Linked DNA regions of Caenorhabditis elegans. The protein of the gene in region 3 interacts with the protein of the main gene of each other region in a pairwise test. Each region holds a gene or a part of one and is shown on either strand. Other genes may lie near its edges. The genes, in order: Y51H7C.3, H06A10.1, txbp-3 and asp-6.

Region 1 (8,076 bases), on a different chromosome or scaffold from region 3:
GTCAGGCCCTGTAACCGCGCCTGCCTTGCATGCAAGCCCTAGCACCTAGGCTTTGAAAAAAGTGGCAACATTTCCAAGCAGCTAACATTATAGAAATGGAATTCGACAGTTGCAACTTCGGCTCAAAACTACGTGAACACATGTCCTTCACGTCATTTGGAACCGAACATTTATGGAGAAAATATGTGGGGAGGAATGATCTTCAATGCGTCAGAAGATGTAAATCATTTTGGATACAAATCCTCAAAAGTTCTCAAAAAAACTGGAACACGGAGTTCAATGTTAGGGGATGGAACACGGATGTAATGAGCATGGAGCTTTATGAATCTGGCGTCGGGCATTCGATACAAATGGCTTGGGCCGGCGTCGGGGACATCGGATGTGGGGTGAAAGTGTGTGCCTGGGATGAGGAACATAAAACGTACAATGTTAAAATCGTGTGTCATTATTGGGGAACGTGAGTTGTGAGCACCTATTTTCGGTAAATAGTATCATTTTTACAGTGGTGATTACATTGGGGGGTACCATCTACGAATCGGGACCTACTTGCTCGGCTTGTCCGCCCAACACCACTTGCGATCAGGCCACCGGGCTTTGCGATAGTAATAAACCGGATATTCCAGAGCCATTGTACAAGTATGATGAGCTGGTCAATCGGGATTCGGGCTATAAAACTATTTTGGGCTTTTACTTAATGACAATTGTTCAGTTAATTTTTAAACTGTGATACTTTAATAAAGCCTCTGTAAGTGTTGCATTTCTACTTTGATAGTGCGTATTCCAGTAAGTTTCGAAGATTTTGGAATGTTTTAAATACAGATTTATAGAAAAAGTGATAGCAAACATTGTCTCAGTTGACAATTTTTTAAAAGAACCAATGACAATTGAGACACATGAGTTTTAAGACATGCTGCATCGATAATTGGTACTAGTCAACTTGGACAACTCATATATTACTCCATTTGGAAGATGTTTTATAGTTGTTACTATCAAACTATAGAAAAAACCAACAGGAAGCAGATTACCAGTTGACAATTTTTTGATAAAACTCTAGAGAATTGAGATATGGGCGGCCCAAGTTAGGCCATGACATGGTGCATCAAAATAAAAAATTTGGCATTTTTCAACTTTACTTTTTCCAAGTCTTGCCCGTTTCGCGTATTTTTAATTTGGAACGTTCCTCCTTATTCACCTGCGCATAGTAAATTCAATCAAGATAAGCCCCCGTGAATCTATGTCATGTTACACATTACACATTAATATAGTTTTGCATATATACATAGATTTATATGAAATTTTAATAAAAAGATGTTATGCCGTAACATTAATATACAATACTTTTACATCTTTATTGTCTATACATTGTTTTGCTATTTTTTTGGAATACGCTTTTTGGTAAGTTGGGTCTGATTTAGGCGTACAGAAGAGAATTTGTTCACTTTTATATAAAGTTAATCTTTTAAATATCGTTGAACAGAACAGAATAACGGGGAAATAAAATACTTACAGTTATTTATACAGTATAGTTATATACATACAGTATATACAGTTTAAGTAGTATATACAGTATAGTTACAGTTGTCTGTTTTGTTCAATCTAAAATGCTGCGAGTTCCCTAGAACGTTCCATTTTTATTGTTTTCCTTTTATCAAGATACGCTGGAAAATGTATGTCATAGCCCAAGCCTACTCTTTTAAATATTGAATTTTTGGAACATTGAATTCATAGAATGTTTTGCGGTAATATTAGAATTACTTACTTTTATACTTTTGTTGTCTATATATATATATATATAAATATAGACACTCTTTTATTGAAGTACTGTTGCACCATGTCTTTTACGGCTTAACTTTGGCAGCACATCAATTTTATCAAAAAGATTTCCGGAATTTCCCCAAAACAGTCAGCTTTCAGGAAGTCTTCCAGGACGCTCAAATTCACCGGCGCAAGGATTTTCTTTACAACTTGAATGGTATATCAAATAAGGTAATTTTTCATAAACTCATCCTATATATTTTCAAATTTTCAGCTCACATTTGAAGCTGTCAATAATAACACGGAATTCGACGAGTTTGCAAATAGTCTTCGAAAAATGCCAAAAGCTCCATATCTAATATTAGTAAGTGTGTGTAGTTTGTAGTGTATAGTTTGTAGTTTATAGTTTATAGTTTATAGTTTGTAGTTTGTAGTTTTATGTTATAAGATTGTAGCTTGTAGTTTGTAGTTTATAGTTAATAGTGCATATAGTGTAGGTTGTAAGGTATGAGTAAGACTGATTTTTTGTTGTTATTAGCTTTCAGTTTGTTTTTTTTTTGGTTTGTAGTTTGTAGTTTGTAGTTTGTGGTTTGTAGTTTGTAGTCTAAATAAAATTTCAGTACGACTCTACCAACGTGGACGTTGTCCTAAACCACGTTTGCAATCTACAGTTCATCCCCAATTCTTTATCCCGACTGGTAGCAATCTCATTTGACCCGAACTCCCATTCAGTGCTGAAGCAGAAGCATCCAAACATCCCGAACCTTCTATTTGACCTGACAGGCCACAAAAAATCGATAAGCTCATTACCGGATCCACGTGGATATTTATCATATTCACTCGTCCTGCTAGTTCATGCACAGATATGTGCTAGCCTGGCTTTTCGTGGAATAGACTTTTGGTCCATGCATCAGGTAGGCATGTTGTGCCTGCCTACAAGGCTTGCCTATCTGCCTTGTATCTACCTATTTGCGAAAGTTTATAGTGGGTGGTCAAACCCAGAAAATGTTGGGCGCATCGCAAATATTTTTGATTTGATTTACTACCAAGATACATAAATTTGGGTTGAAGGTAGATAGGCAGGTAGGCAATGAGGCACGCAGGTACTGTAGGTAAGAAGTAGGTAGACACGCAAGCACTCAGGTATGTTAGGCAAGGTAGGCACGGTTGGTACTGTAGTTAAGCAGGTAAACAAATAGCCTGGTAAGCAGGTGAGTAAGTAGGAACTGTAGGCACGATAAGCGCGGTAGGTATGGTAGGCACTATTGATACGGTAGGCACTATAGGCACTATAGGCACTATAGGTACGGTAGGTACGGTAGGTACGGTAGGTAGGGTAGGCACTGTAGGTACGGTAGGCATGGTAGGCACTATAGATACGGTAGGCAATGTAGGTACGATATGCATGGCAGGCACTATAGGCACTGTAGGCACTGTAGGCACTGTAGGCACTGTAGGCATTGTAGGCACTGTAGGCACTGTAGGTATTGTAGGCACTGTAGGCAATGTAGGCACTGTAGGTACGGTAGGCACTGTAGGTACGGTAGGCATGGTAGGCACTATAGGTACGGTAGGCACGGTAGGCACTGTAGGTATGGTAGGCTCCGTGATCTCATCAGCACTCCCAAATAACTTTAGGACACCCTCTGGACCGGAAGCTTTGACCAGTTGGAACTCGAGTCTCGATATGGAAATTACAACCTAATCCTGGACACCATCGGTAACGAAACTCCATATTACTTCCGGAATAAGGATTTGGCGTGTGGTGCCACGTTTTTTGTCAGAGGGGGTCCTGTGTCCTATCAGTTTTTTCAACAGGTAACAAAATTTTTGAATTTTCCGCAAACCACGCTGTGCAAATACGCTCCAATGAGAAAATTTGAAAACTTGAATTTTTGATAGCAAAAACTTTTTTTCTAAACTTTGGTCTGCTAAATATGTTTTGTAGTTTGTAGTCTAGCATACCCATATTTTTATAATTTTTCTAAACCACTTAAAACCTCGATTTTCAAGCAAAAAAGTCCCCGTTTTTTTTCTGAAATATTCAAATTTTCCAGGTAATCTCATTTATGCTGACATTTCAAAGCCCCGACTCAACAATCATGAGTTATTTATGCAGTCATCAGGGATATAAATGCAAATTCCTGCCACATTCCATATCGTCTTCATTTAACTATTTCGAGAGTCCACGTGAGATGGTTCCGGTTTTAATACAAATTGATGGTGGTCGGAAAGATGGAGACTCGAAGATGGATGTTTTGAAACGGCAAAACTTGGTTTTTACATTTGAAAATGGAACTTGTAACGAGAAAGCTGTGAGGGAGTTGAGGTAAAAGTGCTATATCCTGAAAACTAAAAGTTTTATCGAAAAATTGTTAACTGCAAAAATGTACAGACTACAGATTAATATTAGCTACAAGTTGTAAGTTGACAACTTTGTTCTAGCTCAACCCAGAAAAAAGTTACGACGGCCGACACCTTGCGGGCCATTTTTGGCGTTCTTGGCCCGTGAGACGTCGGTTGCCATAACTATTTTCTGGGTTGAGCTTAGCAAAACTTGTCAACTGGCAAATTGTAGCTAATATTATTCTGTACATATTTGCAGTCGACAATTGTCTGCCAAACCTTCTAGTTTCAGAGTTATGCTAGTTTTACTATTCTCCACCGAAAAAAAAAAGTTACGACTTTCAGAGAAACCATCAAAACAAGCTTTCAATCCCTAATTCGCCAGGATTGGTCCCTGGAAGAGAACTGGTTCGGCTCAGGCGTCTTCTTTTTGAGACACCTATTCAATGTGGATCCAGGACGGCGGAAAGTGTATTTAAAGGCGCATTATCATATTATTTAATTTATTAAAATCGTTTTTAAAGTCCCACAATGTTTTATTTCTATTAAAAATCATGATTTTGCCAAATTTATGTGGAAAAATGCCAAAAAAGCAGCAGTGGTCTGCTAAATATCATTTTGTAGTTTGTAGTCTAGCAGACCAAATTTTATTAGAAACTGGTTGGGACTGTTAAATATTTTTTGTAGTTTGTAGTCTAGCAGACCCAAATTTTTAGAAATTCGTTGGTCTGCTAATGTTTTTTTTGTAGTTTGTAGTCTAGCAGACCAAAATTTATCAGAAATTGGATTGGTCTGCTAAACATCATTTTGTAGTTTGTAGCCTAGCAGACCCATATCTTCTGCATTGCAACTCCACGAAAAATGTAGTTTGTAGTCATCTGTAAGCCTTCATTACTCTGAAAATCGCTTTTTACACAAATTTGACAAGAAAATTAAAAGTGCGAATAAAAATTAGTAGATCAAATTAGTACTTTTCGATAGATTTCTCTGATTTTTCCGATTTCTCGCCGAGTTTCGCAGAGCTTTGCCATTTTGCACGCTCCCCCTCTTCTTCGGCATATTGCTCGTGTTTTTGCTGAAAATCTCTCTTAGAGGTCTCCTTCGGCGTGCTCGAATCGATCGGAAGTCCACAATAATGATCGGTGACCTGAAAAATAACGTTTTTAATGCGAAAATCGATTTAAAAAGGTGCATACATTCGAGGAATCCGTGTTGAAGGACATATCGGTCGACGAGACGCTGACTGTTGACACGTGGCGAACTGGGAGCCCGTTGCGGAGCTCTTTGATCACTTTTTCCTGAAAAAATTGAATTAATCATGCTTAAACGCTCGAAAATAGCCAACTTTTTGTCTTCTGGTCTCTTCGAGCTCCATTTCCAAGAGGAAAGCCTTCTCTTCGAGGCGGTGCAGGTTCACTTCGAGACTTCGACGCTTTTTGGCTGCACGATCACCTGAAAAAGGGTAATTTTGAAGAAATTTAGGTCAAAAAAGCTTTATTTTAAGCGAAAATTGCCTATTTTTCAATGAAAAACGCTCTGGTCTGCTAAATATTCTTTGTAGTTTGTAGCCTGGCAGACCCACTGAATTTCGAGTTTTCTGGCGGTTTTTCATTGATATTAAAGTCCGGTTATTTGGAAAATGTTAGTTTTAGTGATTTTAAGGTGTTTTTAACTTAGTTAAAAGTCTAAAATCATTTAATTTGAGCGAAAATCGACTAAATTTCAAAGAAAGGACCGATTTTTATACGAATTTTAGCAAAAAAAAATGGAAAAAATCATTTAAAACTATCAATTTTGCACTTAAAATTAAGATTAAGTATAAAAATTAAATAAAAATTGCGAAAATGCATGTTTTAATAGGATTTTCCCGATAATGGTCTGCTAAATCGAATTGTGTAGTTTGTAGTCTAGCAGACCAAATCTCTTCACAATCCTATTGGTCTGCTAAATCGAACCTTGTAGTTTGTAGTGTAGCAGACCAAATGGAAAAATCTGATTTTTGGGGTTTTTAAGGTAAAACTCACGTTCAGAGCCGAGAATTGATGTCAGGAACTTCATTTTTGCGTCGCGGGAGCTTGCTGAAACAAATTTGAATGAACGGAAACGAGAAAACTGAGAGAAAATGGAGAACGAAACGAAAAGAATTAATTAAAATGATGGATAGCTTTGTGTGTGTGTGTGTGCGTATCGGTCCAAAAACAAGCCTATAAATTCAGTGAATTCGCATCTTTTTTCGCTTTTCTTTCTAGAAATAAATTCCAGCTGAATCGGCGAGAGGGAGAGAAGAAGAAACTACAGAATTTAAAATTCATCAGAGAATTCGAAAGAGTTTGTGATGAAAAGAAAACAAAAAATAACATTGGAAATTTCATGAATATTTGATGAAAATTCGTAGAAAACTGGAAAATTGATTTTTTGGAGGGAAATAATTTGAAATTCAAAGTTTGGCGGCAGCAGGCAGGTTGCGTACTTTTGCGTACTTGGCCTTTTAATTGACGAGCAATAAGGGGTACTGTAGGAACTTTTAAATTTGATTTTTAACATGTTTTTTCATAAAAAATTGTTTTTTAGCTCTAAAAATTTAGAAATATGATCGTTTCAAAGTTAAAAAAACATTTTAGACTTTATTTTCAAAAATTTATTTCGAAAACAGACGTTAAACACGTCTTAATCTGTGTTTTTCCCTGAAAAATGTCCCAAAACTCTGCAGTTTTTCATTTTAAATCCTTTTTTTGTGTTCTAATCTGTCATTTCCCTTGTTTTCCCCGTTTTCCACTCAATTTCTGCTTTTGAAACTCCGCCGAAAGCAGGCAAACGACACTCCGAAATCCCGCAGTAACGTGTTGTTTATCGTAAATCGACAGAGACACTCTATTTTATTTTTTGTTGATTTTAGCCTTAAATCTCGAGTTTTCAATGATTTTTTCTAGTTTTTGAATGTAATTTTGTGAAATTTAAATGAAAAACTGAATATTTGTCATTTCTAGTGTATAAATTGGTTTTCAAAATTGGTTTTAGCTTGAAAAATTGATTTTTGGGAGCAAAATACTAATAAATTCTATTTGCAGAGATGGAGACAGACGGAGATGTGCTCCCAATGTCGAACGCCTTCAAATTATTGGTAAATCCCAAAAAAATCGATTTTCAAGCAAAAAAATTGTTATATTTTTCAGTGCGAAGACACCGCTCCAAAATCCAACAAAAAACTCATCGAAAAGCAGCGTCAAATCGCTCAAAAAATAAAAAATGTGCTGGAAACCTCGAAGAATGGCCCGAAAATTCAGGTTTTCCCTTTAATTAGTGAAATTTTAGGCCAAAATTTGAATTTTCAGTACAAAAATCTCGATTTCTGGACAGAATTCGACGTTAAACATCCTCTGCATCATCTTCAAAAGGCTGTGGATGCCACGTCGTCGAGTATTCCGGAATTTCAGTGGACACCGCCGAAAAGCATCGTTATCACTGAAAAAGGGCAACAAATTTTCATTGAAATTCCGCCAAAAGCTCTCGGAAATCGCGATTTTCTCAATTTGACCTACGCGGCGAAGCGGGGACATTTCGCGTGCCACGTGGCGCGGCTTCTGAGCGGAAAATTCGAAAAAGTCGAGTTCACAGCCGGTGGAGCCCACAGAGATGACCCAATTTTCGCGGATATTCTTGTCGATGGAGTTCGAATTGGATTTTACTGCCCGGAGCTTGCGAAAACCAAGAGATTTGCTCCAAATATCGGAAATTTGAGGCCCGCCACCATTTTTGAGGATCTTTTTAAAGGTTTTTGTCTTTCTTTTGCAGGAAAAAGTGTAGTTTGTAGTCTAGAAACCTAATTTTTTTTCCAGAAACCGAAATCGCTACGCCAAAATTCAATCAACGAATGTTGTGGTCAATTCTCGAGTTGGAAATTGCTCAAGAGATGGAAAAGGAGCTTAAAGTACCCTTTTAAGCCAATTTTCCCCATTTAAAAGCTTAATTTCAGGC
Region 2 (9,397 bases), on a different chromosome or scaffold from region 3:
GGGAGGAGGACGAGTTTCTAAAATGAAGAAACACATGCTAATAATGGGAAGAGAGATAATGCGGGAAATATGTGGTATGTGCGGATTTGAGAACAGATGACTTGTTCAATAATGCGAGCAAAGGGAACAGTTAAAGATATGGTCTGTAGCCTTCTTGAGGATAGGGATAATGACGTAATGTTTCCAACGAGCGGGAATTTTTTCTTGTTAGTTACAGAGACTGTGCCGTGGAATAATTTACAATTTTTCCAACAATGAGCCAGAAGTTATTATCACTGATTTCGAAATGAGCAACACCGTCATGTACTCGAATTATCTTGAAACAGGAGACCAACCTAAAATTAACTAATCGTATCAAAATAAAACAATTGAATTAAACTAACGCTGGTGTTGATTGTGTCCCTTCGATTACGATAGACTTCTCTAGACTTGTTTTTATTTGCACTGCATTGAAATGTACTAAACGAAAGCTCCTTTCCTGCCATTTCTTGAGTAGGTAGTTCAATTGTCGACTAGTGATATTGATACCTTTCAGGTCAACGGACATGAAATTAAGCAAAAAATCCATAATTTGTTAATTTTATAATTGCATAATTTTATATCGTGTGGTATTGTCACATCAACTCGCAACTGATTCGTCTTAATTTTCAAAAAACTTCGAAAAAGTTTCTTAGGCATTAGTCTTCCGATGAAGTTCACACACACAACACATATTTTCTTACGAAGTAGAATTGAAACAATTCTTTGAACCTGTAGTTCTTTAAAAGAATTACTTATATAAAGTTTAGCATAGACTTCTAAATGCTCGTCAAGACTACAGATTATTTCCAAAACTCGGAAAATATCCTTTCCTTTGTATAGTTTTACGCTGCAATTTTTGCCAAGAATTTCAAAGTGATCCTGACTTGCAATTACATCAATATAAAAAATTTCTGGAAACCAACATTGCCGTTGTTCTATGTATCTTATAGCTTGTTTCACAAAGGAGTTTGTTTTTCTGGGTGACACACGAAGCATGCACCTCCACTCTCTAGTAGTATTGCATCTAAATAGGTATCCGAAAATTAGTATTGCATGCCTTACTAATAGAGGAAATACGGTAACCAAATTAAAGAGAGCGAAGGTGAAACGAGACGCAAACCTTAACAACCCAAAAACACAGTGAAAGAAATGTAAAGGGAGAAACAGAGACATCAAGGGAAGAGTTATATATAACGGAGAGATGTCAGGGAAACATGGCCGAATGGTCTAGTGGTATGATTCTCGCTTTGGGTGCGAGAGGTCCCGGGTTCAATCCCCGGTTCGGCCCATCCTTTTTCAAGTTTTTGACCGGAAAGTATTTGATGATAGTTTTCGCTGCGAACAGATAACATGCAGCATAAATAAAATTATGTTCTCAAACTTATAAAGTTAAATTCATTTATATTGACAAGTATTTACAGTATCACACGTTACTTTATTGGTGCCAAAAAATCAAATATTGTTGTAAATATTTTAAACGAAAACTGAAAATCGGCCAAATATATATAGTTAGTTTTTAAAAATATTATATTCAAATTGTACAATATGTGAACTATCGATCTGTAGCCCTAATTGTTTTACTGAATGAGTTTTTGTGTGCTATTTCTCGAAGGTTTATTAATAAATAACTTAAAAGTATTCTCAATTAAGACGTGTTTTCGTGCAGATTTTAGTTCAACATTCACGAATCCTGAAAATTATGTTTCTGTAGACCTATATGCAAAAGTTATTTCTGACCAACATGCCTAAAAAGTATGTGTATGTTTTCAGTTGATTATTATGTTTTGCCCTGTTCATGTTTTCATAATTGGAAAAATATTTATAGAAACTTTGATAATAAAATCTAATTTCAAAACTTTCATTCATTTCACTAAATTGCACGGAGATATCAGCAAAAATTTTCAAGCCTTGTTCCACATTCATGTTCTGTGATATATTTCCAGATACAATCGTTTCTCTCTTTGTTGGAATCCCATTCCAGAACCATTTCATTTTACAAACACCTAGAACGTCATAAAAGTTGTTTGTTTTTTGCCAAACTATGATATCTCGCAGTCAATCGTTTACTATCTTGATCCAACTACCAGTTCTATACTAGAACAATTTCAATAGTAGAAGCAGTATAAATATGCCCATGGTTTACACGAAGCTCATTCCAGTGGTGTGCTTTGGCATTCTAGAGTTCAAAATGGAGTCTCCAACCGATCTTCGTCTTAAAGCGTACCGTCTAATTGCATACTCGGCTGTCGGATTCTCTGTTACTGCCGCTGTTGCATTGTGTCTGACTTTGCCACTTATTTTCACTTATGTTGAGAATACCAAGGCTCAACTTCATCGCGAGTCTTTGTATTGCAAGGTATAATTCAAAATACTAGTGTTGATTATAAATGAACTTCAGAACTCGGTGCAAGATATGTGGTCTGAAATCAATAGCGACGTGTCAGTGAACAGAACTGCAAGACAGGCTGGATACTCGTCGGGAGGTCCTGATGCTGGAGCAGGAGCCGGAGCTGCAGATGCAGCTGCTGGCGGTGGATGCACTGGATGCTGTAATCCAGGACCACCAGGACCAGGAGGATCTCCAGGAAAGCCAGGAAAGCCAGGAAAGCCAGGAGCACCAGGAGCTCCGGGAGCCGCTGGAAAGGGGGCATCTGCACCATGCGAAGCAAAAACTCCACCACCATGTCAGCCATGCCCAGCAGGACCACCAGGACCACCAGGACCAGATGGACCAGCTGGACCAGCAGGACCAGACGGAGAAGCAGGATCACCAGCCGCACCATCGCCACCAGGACCACCAGGACCACCAGGACCAGCAGGACCCGCAGGAAACGACGGAGCCGCCGGAACTCCAGGACCAGATGGACCAGCTGGAGAGAGCACTTATCCAGAGCCAGCAGGACCAGGACCAGCTGGACCACCAGGACCAGCAGGACCACCGGGACCAGATGGAGCCAGTCCAACCGCTGCCCCAGGAGCTGCCGGACCACCAGGACCACCAGGACCAGCTGGAGCTCCAGGACCAGACGGAAACCCAGGAACTGCAGGACCACCAGGAAAAGCTGGAGGTGAAGGAGAAAAGGGAATCTGCCCCAAGTACTGCGCCATCGACGGAGGAATTTTCTTCGAGGATGGAACACGGCGTTAATTCCATTTATTATTATTACCATTACTTTGCAATTGACTTCATTTGTCTTGCCAATAAATTTAGAGCATTTTCAAAACACATTTACAATTTAAAACATATCAAGTTACATAAAGAAACATTAAAGATACATTTAGCAGTTTTGGGATATTACATGTGGTTCTGAAATGCTAATATCCGGAATATAAGGTGGAACCTGTTCTTCATTCTCAACAAGTCCCATATCCAAGTGGCCAAAGTCGTGTGAATACTTGTAGCAAAATACACTAATCCATTCAATGTCGTAAATTGTTTGGCTCTGGTCTAAGCGTATAATTATATCCTGATCGGTAATATCTTTCAGCATAGGGCAATAACTGGAAAAATTAACAGGACATGTTTCAATAAAAAAGTGGAAAATTACTTGAGGGTTTGATCACTTCGCAGAATAGCAGCTTTCTTCCCAGATTTTTGATCAATTTCTGATCCGGCTCCGGCAAAGAAGTATCCGTCTGAAAACTGAAGCTGCAGTACACAGTTTACTGTTAAACATTATTCAAGATTTGACAAAGATTGCATCCATTGTATCATGAGATTATTAAGATAAAAGGTTTTTTTAAAAAGAAATACAATGCTCCATAGCTTCACGTGTAAAAAGCAGTACCTGGTGTTTGCGATGCTTTATATGAAAACTTTGGAATTTTTAGTGTCCTGGAGTCGATCACTTCTATGGGGTCCGAAATAATTCCGTACTCTCCGAACAACCCCATATCCGCTTCACTTTCAAAACAACAAAATGGTGCTGATGGTTTTTGGTTCATGTTTACAGATGCCAATGTATTCTGAAACATAATGATTCAGAAAAAAAACGCTGCATCCCTGTTCCCCACACTCACCCCATTTGAATCAACAACTGCAAATTGCTTCCATTGCGCAGCTGAGCCCGTCATTTTGACAATTAGCCGCGTGTCTATTTGGTGCTGCTCGTGACTCAATGACACCCTAAATGTGATTATTGATGTGTTCTTGACAATAAATTAACTCACAGTTTTGAGAGCCATTCGCCGTTTTGAGATGAAAAATGGCGGTAGATTTTTGGAGTACTTTTTTGATTGTTTGATGATATAAAAGCAAATGGAATTGGAGGAAGATCTGCAAAGGTAGCTTTTTTTTCTGTAGTTTGGCACACATTGTGTTAAACCATTATGTTTTTTTTTCGAGCAATTCAAATTTTGCGCTACTCCGTTAAAACATTGGAAAAACATGTTATGTATTACATAGTAACGCGTTCGAATATTGACAGGTATACGGCTGGTTTATCGGAAGTTCGGCGACCGGTTTTGGAAATTTTAAAATTTTTAGAGGGGTTGGTTTTCTCGGCGGCCGACAATTTCCGAGTTTAGCCACACCTTAAAGGTGGGGTACCGAAATCTTTGAAATATTTTCAAATTACTCCAAATTTTCCCCTGATTCCGAATATCGATGTGAAAAAATTCAAAAAAGTTTCCCTGATTTCATATTTGAGCTTAAAATCTCGATTTTCATTTGTGCACCCATGAGCTTTTTCAAATTTGCGCCGAAATAAATTATCATTGGAGCGCGTTTGCTTCATTTCATTTTCTCCACATACTTTTTTTTTAGTTGTTCAGCTATTTTTATTCATTTTTGTTGTATATTGTCAGATTAAAAAAATATTCTTTCGTGCCAATTGAACATTTTATCTGCAGAAAAATAAATGAAAATAGCTGAAAAACTGAAAAAAAGTAAATATATATGGAAAAAATTGAATGAAGCAAACACGCTCCAAGGATAATTTATTTCTTCGCTAATTTGATAAAGCTTATTGCACAATGAAAATTGCGATTTTAAGCTCAAATACAAAATCAGAGAAATTTCTTGAGTTTTTTCACATCGATATTCAGAATCAGGGGAAAATTTGGAGTCATTTGAAAATATTTCCCAGAATTCGGTACCCCACCTTTAAACAATTATGTGATTAATTATAGTCTGTGGCCAAACTCGAAAATTGTCGGCCGCCGTGAAAACCTACCCCTCGGAAAAGGTCTATCAAAACCGGACGACCGGGCGCCAAATATGCCAGCCCTAGACAGGAATTTATTAGAATTTAAATAAGATTCGAAATTTTTTTGTTTTTCCACAATTCATACTGATTTTTCGAGAAAAAATTCTTACTTGTTTTTGTAGTCCTAAAGTTAACAATTTGTAAATGTGTTGAGTTGACAAGAAAAACTTCTCCTTCCACGTCACTCTCACTGAACTCGCCCAAAGAAACTCCGTTGTACTCAATGGCACGTATGACTCCTGAAAAGCAAAAAAGAAGAATAGTGTCAATTTGCTTTCAAATGTTTTTCTTACCTGAATATGATATTATGAATATAAGAAAAAATTCGCTGTTCCGCATGTCAATAGAGAGAAAATCAAGTAAGTTATCTGGATATAATGTTGAATAGAATGATAACTATTGGTCTTTTGCTTCAAAGGAAATAAAAGAAAAAGCGTTGCTTTTCTGACCTATATGGCCAAAAACTGGTCAAGTTTTACTTCTCTGCTTTAACCCTAAACAGCTACATCATTTGTCGAGATGAGACGAAAGTGAAAACAGTTTACTTTTTTATTGTCTCAGTTCTTCTTTTCCAAATTGGAGTACATTGTAATGGTTTTGTTTTCTGGTGACTGCAAAACCATTTCAAAGAAGGTTCATCTCAAAACACCGGCGATCGGTAAATTGAATAAATGTTTCTATTATTTTTGTTAGTAAATAACGTTTGGATCATTGACAGTTTGAAATATTCTTGAAACACGCGCGCTAACGTCGTTGCATTTTTCAAATTGGAATAAACGTTTATGCATATCAAATAAAAATTCACAGTTCAAATCGCTACCAAGTTCAAACAATCTTGATACATTTTTTATATGATGAAAAATGCGAGGTGTAGCCAGTGACAACCTACAAAAGCTACAAACTAAAGGTTTGCTTTTAATTTGATATCTGTTCCACATTTAAAATAATAGTTTTCCTGAATTCTGTAAAAATTTGAATACAGTGTTTTTGGAGCATTTCGAAAAATGTGAATTTGAAAAAAAAGTTGTTCACAATGTTTTATAACAGAAAAGTTTATATTTTGGCTAGGGAAAATAAAATATTTAAAATCTAAAAAAAAGATGATCCATATCACGCTTACGGTAAAATGTTTGAATTGGGTTTTATACGAAAATTGCTTTTTTTTTTCAAAAGCTAGCCTAAAAACCTCAGTACAAAATGACATTATGACGTATAGAAGTTCAAAGAAGTTCATAAAAATGTTGAGTGTCTACCTAAAATACTACTAGTGATAATAACAGTGTAAGGCGCCAGAACGCCTGCCTCGCGTCGCAAGCCGCTTCTCTTGTATAATGCGGCACGGAACCCGAAAAATGTCGACCGCGGCCAAATAACCGCTTTTAGCACTACTCCAAGCCTTTGACTGGAAGCCCTGATCTAAAGACTAAAATAAAAATATTGTAAATAAACCTACAATTATTCTACAAAAAAGTATTTTCAAACTTTACTCCACCTGTATCAAATGGTTTTCATTGCGTTATTTCTTTCGAAATCGCTTCAAAATTTCAAATATTTCCAATGAACACTAAGCTTGGGCGTTCAAGCGCACAGACGAATTCAATAGAATCCAGACGAGTACCAAAAACAACCAGCTTATTATTGCCCAGAACCAGAACCTGCTAACCCCTCGGGCATCGAAATCGAGCAAAGGGCACCTAGAAATTTTTAATGAGATTTCCCCCTCCTGCTTTATTCGCTTCCCACGTCTTCCGTTTTTTCTTACTCCTCTTCTCACCATCTGGAGGCATAAAATGGTGGACGGAAAAAGAGCAGATGTGCTTCTTCTTCTTCTTCCCACTCTGACACGCTCCCGGATTACATCACCCTGCCATTCGTCAAACCCGATTTCCATTAGTGGTGATGAAATGTGTAACCCAAATGAAAATGAAATGGGTGCGCTCTTTTTCATCGTTTTTGTCGTTTTATTGATGTACTACTGAGATTGCACTAACGGTAGTGCTTTTTTAACTTGAAGTTTTCACCGGAACTTGGTTGGTGTAACTTTGAACTTCATAGTTATGGAAATCACGCAAAATAAATTTTTTCAAATAAAAAACTGTAGTGTTGTAAAACTAAAAGTTGTATGAAATGGTTTCGTTCATTTTATAGATTTTTTTTTGTTTTTCTGAGTAACATTGGTTAGATCTGGTTAGATCGTCTTGAAGAATTTCGAAATTTCCGCGTACTTTTGAAGTTATATACATTCTTCAAAAGTTGGCTGAATAAATCTAGTGAAGTAGCTTCTATGCTGTAAAAAAAACAAAGGTCCATACGTTAAAAAACTTGAAATTCTGTATTTGTTCAAATTCGAAACTCACCTACAGTAAATCTGAAAAAAGTATTTCTTAAGCTCACTTTGAGTATGTTTTGGCAAAACTTCCGCTAGCGCTATGTTACAGGTTACACTCCTTCGGTATGATTTTTCAGTTCAGCAAAAAACAAAAAAAAAAAGGTTTTCCCCATTTATCACTGTATTTTATCTTCTTGTTCAATTTTAAAATTCCATTTGAATCTTCGAAAGTAAGCTGGTTTACGAGAGTGCCGCCCGACTCATTTAGCACTTCTGAGCTCCCGCCGTGCTTCTTCAGCTCCTTCCTCTTCTTCTCCTCTTATTCAATTGCGACGAAAACGAATGAGAAGACAAAAAATAAGAAGAAGAAAACGAACTGACAGACGACTTCTTCACAAATTTTCACATTTTCTCAATTTTTTCGAGCTCGACGACATTTCTTCACATTCTTTCACTTGAATCAAGTTGAAGCTTCATTTTTTCGTCTTTTTGTTTTTGTATTGAGCATCAAAGTTTAGCCTACTCAAATGAGCAATAACCTTTTTTTTCAGCTGTTCAATACAAAAAACTATCAAAAAATATGCATTTTCTTAGCAAGTTTTGAAAATTATCCAGTGCTCAAAATTCTGAATATTAAAGGTGGAGTAGCGCCCATGGATTCTGTCTAAATACATTTATAATGACCCAAAACGACCGAATATCATAATAAAACATTCCAAATAATTTTAGATTTCCCATAATTCTCGGTCGAAGTTTTGGCAAATTGCCAAAAATTTTAAAAATATGAGCTTTGAGGAAATTCAAAGCTATGTCACATGTTTCGACCCTTACAATGTTTCAATACAATTAGTTAAACAAAGTTAAAGTATAGAATATTTAGGTAGAAATTTTTTTGGTAGACTTCCAAAATTAAGAGTAGCAAAAAATGAGTAATTGTCATTTTTTGACAGTAAATAAAAAAAATTTCAAAAATTATTTGAAAAGTTTTATTGATATTCAGTCATTTTTGGACCGAGGGAGTTGTTTTTAACAATTTCCCCACTGACGCTACTCCACCTTTAATGAAAACTTATGTATTGAAGAATGAGGGTTTTTTGAACCACTATCTCACTAAAATAATGAAAATCCAATTTTTAGTTCACCAGACATATCTATTAAAATTTACATTTGATAAAACTCATATTAGACCCTTTAGGCTCTTGTTAAGCTTTAGCGGCTCTCTCAAACTATTGTTTGCCTTCAATTCTATGCACTCTGAAAGAAAATAAAAAGACGAAGAAGAACTCAAATTTCAATCCATCCGTCACGTCCTCATCCAACTCTTTACATTTTTCATCTTCTGCACACTTTTTTTTGTTCACGTTTTCGCTACCTCCTAAACTATTCTGGGCTCGATTCGTTAAACGTTCTTGCCCATTGTTCTTACAACACTAAATAATTCGTACTACTTTTCGACGAACGACCTCGGAAACGAATATGTACATGTTGAAATCCATTTCTCACACATATTTCACTCCATTTCATATTCAACATGGAGCTTTTGCAACGGACAGGGTGAGGGGGAAACTAGCGACCACCACCTCATTAATTCGGGACCCGCGCGGGTAGCGAAGTGTCCGTGCTTCTTCCTCTTTTCCGGGGCGAATACTCTCCACTCCATAATAATGTCGTGTTTTGTCCCGTTTTGCTATTTTCTCGTCGCTCTCTCTCTGTGGGCTCTTCTACACTTTTCTTTGGCCATGACTACCCAACCAATTAAGTGACAGGAACGGGTGGAGGAAACTGAGGCAATGAGCAGTAAAGTACACATTTCCGGGAAAAGCGATTGTGTTGAAATTTG
Region 3 (7,539 bases):
AAAGAAAATGTTGTTAATTCAATTCAAGAGTATAGAAAATGTTTTGACTGCAAGGCTTCAAGGGTTACTGTAAAAGAAATTATCAGGCGTGTGGAGACCGCACAAAATTTCACACCTGGGTATATATTTATAATCGCCAAAACCGGAAACCGTGGTAGGCACGTAGGCAGGCATTTTGGTGACTGTCTCTAAGACATGAAAGCGATAAAATTATTACTACACTCTTACTGATTAATTCATAAATGATAATCTAAGATATTCACACAAAGTTCAAATTCCTCCCTCTCATAATTTCATTGCTCATTTAGAGTGAATAATTGCTCAGTCTCATGCGATTGACCTTTTTTGTTGAAAGCTCGTTGATACTGATGTACGCATGTTGACATTTGTACATTTAACATTTACATATACATCACGACCACGGGGACAAAAAGTGTCAGGAAAAGTGTCAAATTTCGTGTGAAATTTGAGTGTTCGGATCAGAAATGGGTCAAACTTTTTGAGTATTTGCAGGCTTACAAACGATTCTACTCATGGGAGGATGCAAAGAGGGCGGCTTCATCTGAAGAAGGAATGAGGAATAAGAGAAAACAGTGAGTTGATGAGGATAATAGTTTTTTTTTGGGTTTTTGTCAGTCCTGGACGGGCAAGGGATGAGTACCAATCGAGGCGATCAATTTTTCCCATAAAAACCTGAATTTTAAAATGTTCCCTGAGCCTTGTAATTGTCTGGTATACAGCTATAGATAACTTTTTTGTTGTTTTTTCCCCATTTATAAATTCAGCATTTCAAGAAATTGACAGCACAATATGTCAATCTTTTTGTTTTTCTAAAAGTTTTCAGTTTACTCGAATCGAACATAAAAGGTAGACAAAAAGGTCCACTTCCTTTTCATTTAAAATTCAGTTTGAAAACTAGAATAGAATTCAAAATCCAAACTTTCCGACCCTGGAAAACCACTTAAAACCAACGATCAAAAATTGGCGAAAGTTGGGAGTTACTGTAGTGTTTTTCAAAAAAAAACTAATTCCAAATGAAAAATAGATCCAATTTGTCGCATCAAGCAAACGAACAAAGAAATTGAGCACAGAGAGGTGCACAAATGAAAGTAACGTTGACTTATGTATATATCTATTTTTTGACTGGAGCTTTTGGATAAACATTTGAGGATGGTAGCTTGCAGAAATAAGTTAAAAACATTGTTGTATAGTTTTTTTATTAGAGTTTTTATGATTATTGTCCCAGGGCCATAAAATGGAGGGGGAATAACGGACAGTGGCGCTCGATGGGGGCGAACAACGGGCGCCCCATATTTTCCCTGTACTCCCTTTAGTCGCCTTTGTTGCTAAAAAAATCAGAAGGTAACCGTGATCGGGATGGGGGACCGCCATCAACTCACAGAGTCACAAATTGAACGAGCGAATTTCCAGCTTTTAATTTAATTTTTTCCAGATTTTACGCATGGGCCGGAAAACGATCATCGGCACCAGTTCACTATTTTGAAGACTCAATTGCCCAAGAAGCTGGACCATCAATGGAAAAAAGGAAGCAGTTTTACGCATGGGCCGGGAAATAACTCAAATATTATTTTTCTAAAAATACAATGACAGTAGCATTATCTGTTCTTTTCTCTGTGTGTGTATGTTTCAACTTCTGTCTCTGAATCTCACAATCTCTACCTATTTTTGTTTTTTTCCTGATCAACAACTCTGACATCTTCTTCTCGATTTCCTTTCATTTTTAATTTTTTGAATCATGAATTTTGAACGACTCAATAAAAATGGACTCAGTTTGAGTGTTTTGGATGATTGTTTGAAGCAATGCTTCCGACATACTGTATAGTATCTATTGATCAACTTTGCAAGCATATCTCGGTCAAATTTTGATTTTAGTGAAAAACTTGAGTTAAGAACATGAAATGTTCATTGTCTTCAAACACACTCGAGAATTCTAAATTGCGCAGTACATTATTCCACTTTGATTAACTTTACAACCTCCACTTTCAGTTATTATAAAATTTTTCTTCTAAATTAATATTCCTGTTGGAAAGTACATGAAACGATTGTAAAAACTCTTACAAGGAAAGATTTTCATTTCACCCTGCAATTCGTAGTTGTACTAGAAAATTTCAGGAACTGGCCAGCAAACATGGGATTTTCCAATTGAGCGCACCCAGAAATCTCCTCCATGAGCACATTCACATCCAGTATACATCAAAATGGCTTCATCCCAAAATGCAATTGATTTTTACCTATCCGAAGTAGATGCTCGAATTGCGGAGAAACAAGCTCAACTAGAGGAGGCGCTGGAAAAATCTGAAAACGTGCGAAGCCATGCGGAGACAATTCAAAATTTTATTGGAAAGTTAGTTTTTTTTTTCGAAAAACAAGAATAATTGAGTTGGTATTTTCGGTGGAAAAGTAATAATTGAGTATTTTTTAGATATTCCAATTTCGAGTCAAGAGTCAAAGACTTTCAAAATGAAATTGTAGAAATGGACCGATTGATTGCAGAAAAACAGGAAGAAATTGACGAAAATCGCAATTTTTCGAGGAGAGAAGAGTTAGTTTTTCAAAGTTTTAGGAACAGAAAAAACCGAGATTTTGCAGAGTTCAAATGACGAAATTAATGGAAAAATTAGAAAAAGTGACGGAAGAAAGAAAACAAAAAGAGAGAACTTTGCTGAAATTATATGAAGAAGAAGGGAAAACTATGGATTCATCCGATGATGAAGATAATATTAATTTTGAATTTCAGAGTTCTGATAAAAATTGAATGTTTCTAGTTTTTAAAAGTTTTAAAAAATACTATTTTATTATTTTCGAGATGATTCGAGAAGACTTTAGTATGTACTACAAGTTTCATTTGCATATAATACTACATTTTGTTAGTACATCACTTTTTCTGTGTTTACACAATTGAATTTGTTCCAAGAATCCATCAAGTGAAATCACGTGTGTTCCTTTTAAACTACAGTAATCCTTGTAGTAAATTTGAAATTCATTATTTAGATTTAAAAACATTTTCAGAGTGTATACACAATTCAAATAAAGTGAAAGCAACAAAGATTTTAATATCCCAACTAGTTTAAAAGTGGAAAAAATGTTTTAATTTAACAAATTTATTGCGACAGATTTCAGATTTATAATTTCTTTTGTTTTACTTTATTTTTTACATTGAAATAATTCATTTTTGTATGATAAAAATTTACAGGCAATTATGAAATTTTCAGTTCATTTTTCCAAACACGAATGACCAATTTTTCTTGTCAAATGATGCATTGTGTCGTCAAAAAAGTAAAATTTTTTATTTTTGAACCCGATAAATATCAAAATATATGCGCAGAATTGAGTTTGAGAGATAATTGAAAAGGGCAAGTTTGAATGTGAACGGAACAAATGAGATTGAGTTAATGAAGACTGACAGGAGGAAGATCGGCTCTTGCAACAAGCATATGAAGTACTTTTGATTGTTTGATAAACTTCACAGCTCGATCATGAGTCATCATTGTGAAATCTGCTCCATTGACCTGAAAATAGAGAATATTATTTAGTTGGGGTGTCCGTTTGTTAGAGGATGTTCTCAATATCATCTAGAAAAATTTTGAGGAGTTTTCAATTTTTTGGAAACTTATGTTAAGCTAATGTTCGAACGTTCTTGAGTTTGTCTACCAAAAATTTTTTAATTGGCCAAATGTTTAATTCACTTCAGTTTAATTCACGCAAATTTATGTTGAATGAGAAAATATTGCCTAAGAAGAGTACTGTAATTTCAAATTCTCATTTCTGCTGAATTTTCATCGATTTTGCATGGTTTTTTGATGAAAGTATATTTATTTATTTGAAATATAACAACACAAAAATTTCCAAAAACTCATGAGAAAAACTATGCAAGATCGATGAAAATTCGGCAGTAAGTTTACAGTACTCTTAATTAACAATGTATATGTTGGCAAGAAAGTTTGATCATTTGTCTCTGGGAAAAGAAAACTTAAAAATTTCATAATTACCTGCAGAATCTTATCATGCTTTCTCAATCCAGCCACATCCGCCGGCGATCCTGATTCGACGTTTGTGATATAAACTCCAGAATCCGGATATTTGAATGGCGCTTTTGTTGGATCTTGATCAATTCCTCCACCAATTTTAAATCCAACTCGAATTGTGACTTGTCCATGAGCATCAATAACTTCTTGTTTGTGCAATTCAACAGCAATTGACAAACATTCAATTGCTTCTCCTGGCATATGACCATATGCTGTCATTGTATTATTTTTTTTTGATCTGAAAATTGGAAAGTATTTAAAAGTGAAATTGAAAAGAAAATGAGGTTTTTTGTTCAAAAACTAATGTTTAAATGTGTCGGAACACGGACAAAGATGAAACGCACACATACAACATGAGGTGTGACTCATTGTCTTCAACCCCCTCTGGTCTCCATTTTTCTTACACTATCTCATCTTCCTACTCTCATGGCCGAATTTGCATACATTTTTACTCAATTCCGTTCGGATTGTCATTGAGATGGCGACCTTGTACAAGTGTTGCCGATAAGAGAATAATTGAATTGGTGGCCGTGGAAGAGAAATTGAAAAAATAAGACCAAACATCGCTTTTTGCGGCCATGGAAAGTTGGTTTTACTTGTATTGAATAATCTTTTTCCCTCAATTTTTTATTTAACGTTTCCAAATCTTGCAGTCTTGCATGTTTCTATTTGCAGGCATATTTTTAAAGATATTATAATAATTAATAATGAATTATTTCAATGTAAAACAATATAGTCAAGAAAAAAGAATATCTAAAAATCTAAAATCAGTAGCGGAAAAGAAGTTTTTTAATGCTAGGTACTGTAGATTTTCCAATTTCCACAATATATGTTTGAGAAATCGATTTATTTTCAAAAACCATTTTTGTTCAAATTAAAACATTTTTCCCACTTTTAAACCATGTTTAACTCCAAAATCTTCTTTATTTTCACTTTATTTTAAATGTGAATTCACTTTGAAAATGTTGTTCAATCTAATAATATTCAAATTCACTTCGCCGATTACTGTGGTTTTAAAGGAGTGCATTCAAATTATTGATTGAGGTCTCGCAGCGAGCTGGGTATGGTGAAATTTTTTATTGATTTTTAGACACTTCTCTTGCGCAAAACTCTTAAATTTTTAGTTAATCGTTGACTCTCATTTCTTTTGCTAAATATAATGATAAATTATCTAATAAATTTTCAATTTTCAGCATAAAAATGACCCAAGAACCGTCAGACACCAGTGATTATCAACGATTTGATGAAATGCTTCTTCATTTGGAGCCAAGAGGGGCAAGAGTTCCTTATAACGTTGTTTACGACCAAGACAACAATATATGGGTATATTATAATTAAACAACAACAATTAAAAATTATTCATTTTTCAGGTAGCTTCAAAAGGCGGTTTATATAAATTCAACGGAAAAACTCTCCGAACTCTGCACGAAGACAAGAAATTCTTCAAGAAAATGGCCCCATTTCCACAAGTAATTTCGTACAAAGACAGGGTACAATAAATTATTTTCACTTAAGTTATTAATTATTCAAATTTACAGATAATCTACACATCAGCTGAATTCTCTGATCGAACGACAATTTTAAGAGTAATTTCACTTGATGGAGATGTTGTTCATGAGTCGTTTATCGAAGGATTATGTAAGTTTTTCTGGTATAAAACATTTTTTAAAATATATTTTTTTTTAGTAAATTCCATGACAATCACTGATAGTGGCGATATGTATATTGTGAAGCAAGCTGAACCAGGACATCGAAACAATTTTATCATGACGTAAGAATTAAAATAAATCATTTAAAGAAGGAGTATCGTCAATGGGAAAATTGTTTTAAAATGTAGTATTCGTGCTCAAACTTAAGAATATTACAAAACAAAAACGGGAAAAATCCGTTTAGATTCAGCATTTTAAGTCGAAAAAATCTTCAAAAATTAACTAGAGAAATCCTAGGCCACGACGATCTTTCGAATTTTTATTTGTTCTGGTATTGTCCTTTGAAAAAATACTCAATACAATTTCTTCTTCCCAGTTTTCTTGAACTTTTTGAGAAAGAAAAGCGAATTAAAGTTCGAAAAAATTACATTTAAATCAATATTTTGTTTACGAATATGACCTAAAAGTTGCGTGGTTGCTTTTCATTTGCGCGCGAAATTCAAATTCAGCCACTTTCAGCCACTTTCGTCGATTTCAACGGCTAAATGCTGAATGTTAACGGATTTTTCCGTTTTTCTTCTGCAATAATTGGAAGTTTGAGTACAAATACTACATTTTAAAACAATTTCCCCTTTGACGATACTCCTTCTTTAAATTAAAAATGTTTCCTTCAAGCAACTTTTTATATTTTATTTTTACATCTATAATTTCAGAACACACTTGGACACTCCAATCGGTTGGGATGTTGTTGCTGAATCAAAGCCTGGAGAAGCTTTTTCACGAATTTGTGCACTTGATGACAAGACTTTGGTGGCTTCAATCAACGATTTTCCAATGAATATGTTCTCAAAGTGAGTTTTTGTAATTTTTAACAAGTGTTAATAGTTTTTTCGGAATCTGTATTCGAAATAAAAACATTTTGTTTTTTTTTTCAGACAACGACTTGTATTCTACGATTTGGAAACAAATACTGAAACAGGAAGCACATCGAAAGCAGGAAAAGAGCCCGGAGAGATATTTTTCCCGAGATTCATCAAAAAATATGGAGATGGATTCATCCTAAACGACAAATCTGGACGATTCTCAGAGTTCAAGAAAAATGGGGAATTCGTGGCAATTCGTGCTCGAATCGATGCATTTTTGGGCGAAGGATTTGATGTAAAAGACGGAGAAGCTCTGATGGCATTGACTGGAATGGTTAAAGATCCAAATGAACAATTAATTTGTGATGATTGGTTAGAAACTATAAAATTGGACGGATCCTCGTGGAAAGCAGATAGAGAAAAGAAGAAACAAGAAGACGAGCAAGCGAAAAATTGATTTTTTTTGTCTAAAATTCCCATTAAGATATTGTTCTCAGTCTTTCTTCACTTAAAAAAATCATGCGAATTATCGGATTTTAAAAAATCTAAAAAAAATAGTTTCAATTTCAGTCAATAGAATTTTAGTCGTATAACTTTGGGTTGTTCACTTCACTTCATTCCAAAATAGCTTTCAATTGTTTTGTGTTTCAACAACAAAAAATCTGTGATTTGACCATTTATTCTTTTATCTTGCCTCCGAATAAATATTCACTTAAGAAAAGTAAGACTTCAGTTTCACTTCTTCGACGACGATCCTTTACTTCTACGATTCCTACGAGCCATTCTAGCCGTCTCGATTGGATTTGCTCTCTGAATGATTGAAAATAATTAGATATCAAATCAGTAAATCTTATTACTGAATAAATAAACTCTTCCTGCTTCTCAATGACAAATGACAAACTCTTATCGGACTTTCCCTCATCATCTGATTTACTTTCATTTCGTTTTCCTTCCATTTCCTGAGCATGAACAAGCGATCGA
Region 4 (7,951 bases), on a different chromosome or scaffold from region 3:
AATTTGAGTTTTTATTTCAGGTAATTTTCAAAAATGCAATCTACTCTCCGAATTATTTTAGTTTTTCTCCTGGTTCTTGTTCTGGTTGATGCACAATATAGAATGATGGGTAAATCTTGAACGATTATTCATATTTTTGTAGTTTTCATAATTTTCAGCTAATTACGGTCCAGCTTGGCGTCAAAAGATGTGGAGGAAAACTCGTGTCTCGTCTCCAGCTTTTGAGGATGTTGCAGACAGTGGGCTGATCGACATGTTGGCAAATTAATTTCAATTTCAAAAATAAATAACAAGAGATTAACTTTGTTTCATCAAATTTTTTAAAAAAGTATATAAATAAAGATCAGTGGGCCGGGATTCATTTTCATTGATGGAAATAGTAAAACTAATTCGATAATAAAAAGTTTGTGTTATGCAACTGCGTCAGGTGTGAGCCTTCTACAAAGGTAACATTTTACCCTGCTCTTCCCTAACTCTATTCTACCTTATGCCTAACCCTCCGTTCGCCCTACATAGTTCATTTCCAAACTTTTAATTCTAAAAAATAAAGGAAATGAAAATAATCGAAAAAAATTGGACATTACATGAAGACATAGGAGAAAATGAAAAAGAAAATAGTCTTTATGGTAGAGGGTAAACAGAAGGTTTGCCCTACAATTTTTACTCTCGTGAAAGGTTTAGTGCATACTTCTCTTCATCAGGCGCAACTCAGGTGTTAGAGCATCATGACACTCAACTTTAGATACGCGCCAAAAATTCTTCTCTCGACTTTTTATAAACTTGTGATCAAAGAAATGGGAGATATGAAACATGGCACGTTTCTTACGGTTACCTTATACAGCTTTTAATAAATATTCTGAAATGACGAGTGGGCGAAGATAAAAAATGTTTATCAGAGAATCAGAAGTATCTGGGTTCAACTTTTAGAATTGTGGTCTTGAACGAATTGGTTTTGGAAGTTGAACAGTCTTTTTATCCAATTTTTCAATAAGATCAGGATCTTTTCCGTTTGCAATATCGTATGCAGTGTCATTTACCGTTTTCTAAAAAAAAACATATTTGAGTCGGTTAAATATATTAACCACGTCATACCTTCATCTTACGAATAATTTCCTCTTCGGTCAGAGGTTGGTATTTATTCACGACAGTGTCCACTTTCACTATCTGCAAGACAATTATGTTTTCTGAAATAACAACTTCATGGCCCAAAACTTACACCACCGGGATCAGAAAAGTGAATATCAGTAAGATTGAGGCGTTTCATATAATTATCCAACATATTTAATCTAGCCGTCGGTCCTGGCGGCTCTTGTGCTTCGAATGATTCAAGTAGAACGAAAAATGCAAGTGGCAAAAATACAAATGTATTCATTTTAGAAATTGAAATGAATTTTTTCAACTTAAAAAAATTTTTTACATTTTTTTTAAACTTTAAAACTCTTCAACACACGTATTTTTATTTAAAAAAAATCACAATCATTTTGGAGCAGGTTGCAAAGATGGAGCAAATCCCATTCGGAAGTTTCCAATATCATAAATGTTACAATATTGCCTGATAAACGGGTCTCCAAGAATCCAGGAAGGTCCAAAACCTCCAAAATCCATTGGGAAGAGAGCCATCACACACGTTCCATCGCCAACATCCGCAATATAATTGTAGTGTTCGATTTGATAATCATGGCCACCAATTGTAACTTCAAGTGGTCCAGGAGTAGCATCACAATCGATTACGTACGCTTCTCCAAGGATATAGTACTGTAACATTTTAGAGTGGAAATTAATTTTACATGTTTATTTGGTTTTTGAATGGGAAGAGTTAGTTTTACAACCGGCTTCAAAAAAGTTGAAGTTATAACGAGCGACTCCATTACTGTTAATATGAAATAAAATTTCAGTCGAAACAAAAAATATTCATAGTTATAAATTAAGGTGAAGATAAGATGAGATCTTATCAGGTTTTTATCTGATAAAAACTTACGGTAGCGCCAGCCTGCTTTGCAATTTCATTAATAACTACACTGGGACCACCCAAGAAAGAAGTTCCAGTATCCGAAATCACGTCAACAACTTTTGCATTCAAATATTTTCCCAGTCGGAATCGATTTGCCTTGAACTGAAAATAAGTGGCAGATGACAATGGCTGATATCCAATCACTGGTTCACAATTAGTAGTGTCTACTGCTCCATATGTGAACACTCCTCCTCCAACATTTGTCAATGTTCCTCTATGTTCCAAGAATACACTGAACAATGGTTGATCAAGAATTCCTTGTTTAATAGCATTGATAAGTGGTGGAACTACGCCATCAACAGCCAATGTAGTGAATGCAAGACCGAATATTCCATCGGTGGCGTCGTTTTTTAAATCTGCTGAAACTTGGTTTGCAATTCCGAATGTCGTTTTTGGGATTGCTAACTGATTTTCTCCGGTCGCTCCAATCTACAAAATTTTAATTGAAAGTAAGAATAATTGTTTAAAAATTATACCTTCACAATATCTTGTCAAATTTGTGTTTCGACTCACAATTTGCTCTAAAAGTTAAGTGTAAAAGTTCACTTTTAAATTTCATTCTTACTTGCATGATGTCCCTGGAATCCAAAGATTCGCGGAACCTGTGTCAAGGACAACAATAAAGCTCTGATCAGGAGTTCCAATAGTGATGTTTCCAAGATATTCAAAATCGGCAAAGTCATTGACCTAAATTAGTGTATGTGTTTATGAGAAAAATATCAAATAAAAGTTATTTTTGAAAGTTGGCTAGTTTCTATTTAAAAATTGTGAAACTTGCATAGAACAGGTTATCAGTACAAGTTTTAGATTATTTTAAAATTTGGATACGTTAAAAAAAACTTACATTCTGTGGCAAACTCTGTAGCTGCCAAGGATTACGGTTTCTTTGTCTCTCGAGATGTTTCTTATATGTTGCCCATTCTCCACTTCTCAGCATCTCGATCCTTTTTGATGGTTTCCATAATATTTTACTTTGATGTACTAATCCAGAAACAAAAACAAATAAACTTATAATTAAAATTATTGATCGCATTTTTCAAAAAGTGATCAATTTCCCCCTTTTCAATTCTGGTTTTAAGCTTTTTTTCATTTTCTTGCATCATCAAACGGCGGACTCGTTAATTTCGCTGATAACACAAGTAAACTGATAAGAGGAATGAAACATCGTGATTAAAATTCAATGCAATTCATTTCTGCAGAAAAATTGTTTAAATATTAGTTGTTTCAATTGTTTTATTATTGAAAAAGTATAAGTACATAAATAGTAATATATATTTACTTTTGGAGAGATGGAGCGAATCCCATTCTCTTGTTTCCAATATCGTAAATGTTGCAGTATTGACGAATGAATGGATCTCCAAGAATCCATGATGGTCCGAATCCTCCGAAATCGAATGGGAAGGCAGCGAAAAGGCATTGACCGTTTCCGGCATCAACGATGTAGTTGACTGGCTGGATGGAATAAGTGTTGGTTCCAATGGTAATATCAAGAGTTCCTGGCTGGGCAGCGCAGTCGATGAAGTAGACCTCGTTAAAGTCATCATAAGTGGCTCCAGCGGCCTTGGCGAGTCCGTCAACAACAGATTGTGGTCCTCCGAGGAAGGAAGTTCCGGTGTCAGAGATAACATCAACGGTCTTGGTGTTTGAGTATGATCCGAGTTTGAATCCGGCAGCCTTGAATTGATAGTAGGTGGCAGAGGAAAGTGGTTGGTAGGCAACAAGGGCTCCGCAGTTGGTGGTGTCAATGGCTCCGTAGGTGAAGACTCCTCCTCCAACATTGTTGGCGGCTCCTCTGTGCTCAAGCCAGACTGAGAAGAGTGGCTGGTCAAGGATTCCTTGGTTGATGGCGTTGATGAGTGGTGGGACAACTCCGTCGACGGCAAGGGAGGTGAAAGCAAGTCCGAGAATTCCGTCGGTGGCGTCATTCTTGAAGTCAGCGGAAATCTTGCTGGCAATTCCGAAGGTGGTGGTTGGAACAGACAATTGGGAGTCTCCCTTAGCTCCGAACTGAAAATCAATTTGATAAGGACTGATTTTTTGTAAAATTCACTTTGCCAGCTAATTTATATCAAGATTACACAACGCACACATTAATGCATTGAAGATAAACTTACTCTAACGGTATCTTGTCCGAGGATTCCGGCGGCATCTCCTGATCCGTATTGGATGGTCCAGGACTTTCCGTTCTTAACGAAGGTGCTGGAGGCAGTGGAATCGAACTTGCTCTTGGTCTTGCAGTTGGTCCTTCAAATAATCTTTTTAAATATTTCAGAACTGAAATCTACTCACTTGCAGGTTGGTCCTGGAATCCAGAGGTTAGAGGATCCGGTATCCAAAACAACGATGAATCCTTGATCTGGGGTTCCGATGGTGATGTTTCCGAGGTACTCGAAATCTCCAAAGTCATTGACATTTTGTGGGAGATTAGCAAGAACATTTGGGGACACAGCTCTGAGATTTCTCTGGTATTCAAGGTAAGCTGGATATTGTCCAGTACGGATCATTCCCATCTTCTTGGATTCCCTCCATACGATCTTGTGTTGATGGACTGAAGCCGATGCAAGGCCAAGAACGGCCAGAAGGATGAAGGTCTTCATACCTGAAAATAAATATTTCAGAAAAATATTCTAAATGGAAATGAAATTGAAAGTGTAGATAAACGAGTGAAATAATTTTCAATTTCAAGAGCAAAAATTGAAGTAGAAAATGTCAGATAGTGCTATGTTTTATACTTGTTGAGAAAACTCATGGGCGCACTGACGTAAGTTTAATTGGTTGATAAGAACCGCCTTCTTATTTGGTTTGTACCCGATCGGTGCGATTCTTATCACTAAAAAATGAAGTTTAGTGAAGAGAGTAGTGCCGATGATTCCGGCTTCTGGAAGTAACGACTGAAAACTGACGAAACAGCTTTTATGAGCTAATAAAACTCGAGTATTAACTGAATCAAAAGTGCGTAAAGTTCCGTGAACGGTACCCGGAGATGGATGACATTTGAGTCAAGTGCTGATAGGTCAATACCAGGTACACACGTAGGTTTACTGGCTAAATCCGGAGTAATACGTGATGAATTACGTAAGCGATAGGAAAGTATACAGTTTGAGCATGGCTAAAACTTGAACAGACAGAGTCCAAAGGATGATATAATGAATGACGAGAGCCTTATTTAAGGCATCACTGTAAGATTTTCCAACAATTCAATTTGCTCTGTATTATAGTTTTCAACATTATACAGTTTTTGAATTGAATAAACTTTTTGAGTTGGAAGGTTCTTAACGGCACTTTCTATCTCATCTTACTTCACAGTTAGTAAAATAGTTACAATAGTGCCCATTATTTGAATTTTATTTGAAAATTATGTCCATTTCCAATTGTTCCACAGCATTTTTTTTTGCAAAACTCCATATTTATATGTAGATAAACTTTTTGCCAGAAAACTTGCCAGGGAATAGTTAAGGATGAATTTTCAGCCTATCTTCCTAAAGACCCCAAATATAAAATTTTTGGTGGATTGCAGAGAAAGCTAGGCATGGTTTCAAGTTTTACAGTTCACCCTTTTGAATTGGAAATCCAATTAATACTGTACGCTTGTTTTGCAAGTGTACCCAAATGACATCACTATTTTCTGCAGTTTTTTTTCCGGCTCTGTATTATTTTGGCAGTCAACATGATAGCTTTATTGACATTTCTTTAAATCAAACGTTTTCCTCAATCATTTCCGCTGTTTTACTTCTCAACCTGTGACAGTACAAACATCTTGATCATCACGTGCCCAATAGCCAGGCATGTTGACTATGAGCCGGAACTTTTCTAGATAAGCTTCTTACGAATCTAGATACGTATTCTGATTTATTATCAATAATTTATCGCATCAGATCAAGAAAGTGAGAGTTCTTGCGTCAGATTGAAAGAATAATGGCCAAAGTTTCCAAACTTTGCACGGACATTCTAGTTTGCAAAGTTATGAGCTGAAGAACGAAAAATATTAGGTTTCTATGGTATTTAATCTTAAACGCATAAATTTTAGGAAGAAAGAACCATTTTAGTTCTTGAATACTTGTATTACACTTTCAAATACCCATATTTCAAGCATAATAGGACTACTGAACTTTTTATCGTACCGGGCATTCACACAGTCTCGCACAAAAGTCAACCTAAATGATATTGTATTTCAAACAGTTGTTCGTTGAAAAACTAGTAGAATCAAGAAACAAACATGATTTCAACCAAAATTAATGAAACCTCTTTTATTTCAAAACACAACACGCACTGAAAACATCGAAATATTCAATAAATCTTTTCAGAAATGAAGACAACTCTTCTCGCTTTTGTAGCCATTCTTGGCATGTGCTCGGCAACTGTGGTTCAGCATAAATTGATCTATCGGGAATCGCCAAAGATGCAAATGATGAGGCGAGGAGAATGGGGAGCATACGTTCAACACAAGGCTGCCCTACGTGACGCCAATCCAGCTGTGTTCGCCAGTGCTCCACAAAATGTCAATGATTTTGGAGATGTTGAATACCTAGGAAATATCACGATTGGAACTCCTCCACAACAGTTTATTGTCGTCTTGGATACTGGTTCTGCGAATCTCTGGGTTCCAGGAAGTAACTGCGAGTCAGTAGCCACCTTACACAATGGTTTTTAAATTTTTATCATTTTCAGTGGAACATGCAAAGGAAAGAGCGAGTTTGACTCATCTAAATCTACAACATTCAAGAAAAACGGACAATCATGGCAAATTCAATACGAATCTGGAAGCGCTAAGGGAATCATGGGAGTAGATACTGTTGCTTTTGGTGGTGCTTCAGAACAACAACTTCTTGTCCCATCTACCACTTTCGGTATTGCCTCTCACATTTCGTCTAACTTTAAGAATGTAAGATCTATTTCCCAGATTATTTGATTCTTCATCGGAACGAAACTTTCAGGACGCTGCTGAAGGAATTCTCGGGCTTGCCTTCACATCTCTTGCAGTCGACGGAGTTACCCCACCACTGATCAACGCCATCAACAAGAAAATTCTCGATCAACCTCTGTTCACAGTCTTTTTAGAACATAAGGGAACGGCAAAGAATGTTGGAGGAGGTGTCTTCACCTACGGAGCCGTTGACACTACCAACTGCGGACCAGTGATTGCCTATCAACCACTTTCATCTGCCACGTATTATCAGTTTGTTGCTGATGGATTTAAGCTCGGATCATACTCAAACAATAAGAAATCTCAAGTGATTTCCGACACTGGAAGTTCGCTCATCGGAGGACCAAGTGCTGTGATAAATGGCTTCGCTCAAGCTTTGGGAGCAAAAGTGAGTATCAGTTTAATTTTGACTCGTTGTGAGGGACAAACAGTTTTTTTAATCTTTATATCTAAACCTTTTCCAGTACCACAGCGATGATGATGCTTACTACCTCCCATGCTCAACATCTAAGGGAACTTTGGACATTACTATCGGAGGAAATGTGTATTCTATTGAACCTGTCAACTATATCCTTGATGTTGGAATGGGTGACACTTGTGTCTTTGCTGCTTTCTCATTCGATTTCGGAGGATTCGGACCATCATGGATTTTCGGAGATCCTTTCATCCGTCAATACTGCAACATCTATGACATCGGACAACAGCGCATTGGTTTTGCCAAGTCTCTCCAGCCTTCTTCAAAATAAACTCTATGCAATGCGATTGTGAGAAATGAAAATGAATACTTCAATTTACTTTTCTTCAGTGTGTGATCTACGTGATTATGGTCAAAAGTCCAACTTATACATATCGTCATGTACACCTTATTTCTTTTTTCATTTTCTGGACAATTTTGTGAAGTGAAAACCCACGTCACAGACCGTTATCTGATTGAGTATAAATGATAAGAAATCATTGTCAACTCAAATAAAATAGGAATTTGTTAACTTGTAGTACGAATTCTCCTTATTCTTATC

The links.
Region 1: the proteins of txbp-3 (region 3) and Y51H7C.3 interact in a two-hybrid assay, tested with the Caenorhabditis elegans proteins (one large-scale study listed by BioGRID).
Region 2: the proteins of txbp-3 (region 3) and H06A10.1 interact in a two-hybrid assay, tested with the Caenorhabditis elegans proteins (one large-scale study listed by BioGRID).
Region 4: the proteins of txbp-3 (region 3) and asp-6 interact in a two-hybrid assay, tested with the Caenorhabditis elegans proteins (one large-scale study listed by BioGRID).

The regions. Positions count from the first base shown.
Region 1 is NC_003280.10:1,436,593-1,444,668, reverse strand, and holds Y51H7C.3 (Lzipper-MIP1 domain-containing protein), read right to left. Parts: upstream 6,180-8,076; 5' UTR 6,160-6,179; coding exon 6,126-6,159; intron 5,554-6,125; coding exon 5,447-5,553; intron 5,400-5,446; coding exon 5,298-5,399; intron 5,249-5,297; coding exon 5,066-5,248; 3' UTR 4,972-5,065; downstream 1-4,971. Other genes in the region: Y51H7C.12 (Nucleotide-diphospho-sugar transferase domain-containing protein), read left to right, coding at 1,309-1,395, 1,915-1,986, 2,030-2,119, 2,376-2,669, 3,394-3,573, 3,813-4,084, 4,447-4,603; nol-6 (Nucleolar protein 6), read left to right, coding at 7,172-7,222, 7,275-7,385, 7,434-7,872, 7,938-8,029, 8,075-8,076.
Region 2 is NC_003284.9:13,503,882-13,513,278, reverse strand, and holds H06A10.1 (DM13 domain-containing protein), read right to left. Parts: upstream 5,747-9,397; 5' UTR 5,568-5,746; coding exon 5,522-5,567; intron 5,468-5,521; coding exon 5,339-5,467; intron 4,298-5,338; coding exon 4,192-4,297; intron 4,148-4,191; coding exon 4,042-4,147; intron 3,988-4,041; coding exon 3,810-3,987; intron 3,658-3,809; coding exon 3,570-3,657; intron 3,523-3,569; coding exon 3,300-3,522; 3' UTR 3,170-3,299; downstream 1-3,169. Other genes in the region: col-185 (Nematode cuticle collagen N-terminal domain-containing protein), read left to right, coding at 2,210-2,377, 2,420-3,169.
Region 3 is NC_003281.10:5,042,878-5,050,416, forward strand, and holds txbp-3 (Tax1-binding protein 3 homolog), read right to left. Parts: upstream 4,285-7,539; 5' UTR 4,266-4,284; coding exon 4,011-4,265; intron 3,531-4,010; coding exon 3,411-3,530; 3' UTR 3,299-3,410; downstream 1-3,298. Other genes in the region: nlp-43 (Neuropeptide-Like Protein), read left to right, coding at 514-593, 1,454-1,577; C45G9.14 (uncharacterized protein), read left to right, coding at 2,220-2,365, 2,444-2,563, 2,611-2,776; vtip-1 (Vha Twelve Interacting Protein), read left to right, coding at 5,247-5,369, 5,417-5,536, 5,585-5,684, 5,733-5,817, 6,409-6,546, 6,631-7,015; C45G9.15 (DUF851 domain-containing protein), read right to left, coding at 7,294-7,368, 7,416-7,539. UniProt on the Caenorhabditis elegans protein: May regulate a number of protein-protein interactions by competing for PDZ domain binding sites.
Region 4 is NC_003283.11:8,264,328-8,272,278, forward strand, and holds asp-6 (Aspartic protease 6), read right to left. Parts: upstream 4,611-7,951; 5' UTR 4,609-4,610; coding exon 4,301-4,608; intron 4,256-4,300; coding exon 4,126-4,255; intron 4,019-4,125; coding exon 3,287-4,018; 3' UTR 3,184-3,286; downstream 1-3,183. Other genes in the region: C16D9.9 (Neuropeptide-Like Protein), read left to right, coding at 34-109, 159-268; F21F8.5 (uncharacterized protein), read right to left, coding at 924-1,043, 1,093-1,164, 1,217-1,372; asp-12 (Peptidase A1 domain-containing protein), read left to right, coding at 6,318-6,631, 6,680-6,893, 6,946-7,323, 7,400-7,681. UniProt on the Caenorhabditis elegans protein: Aspartic protease.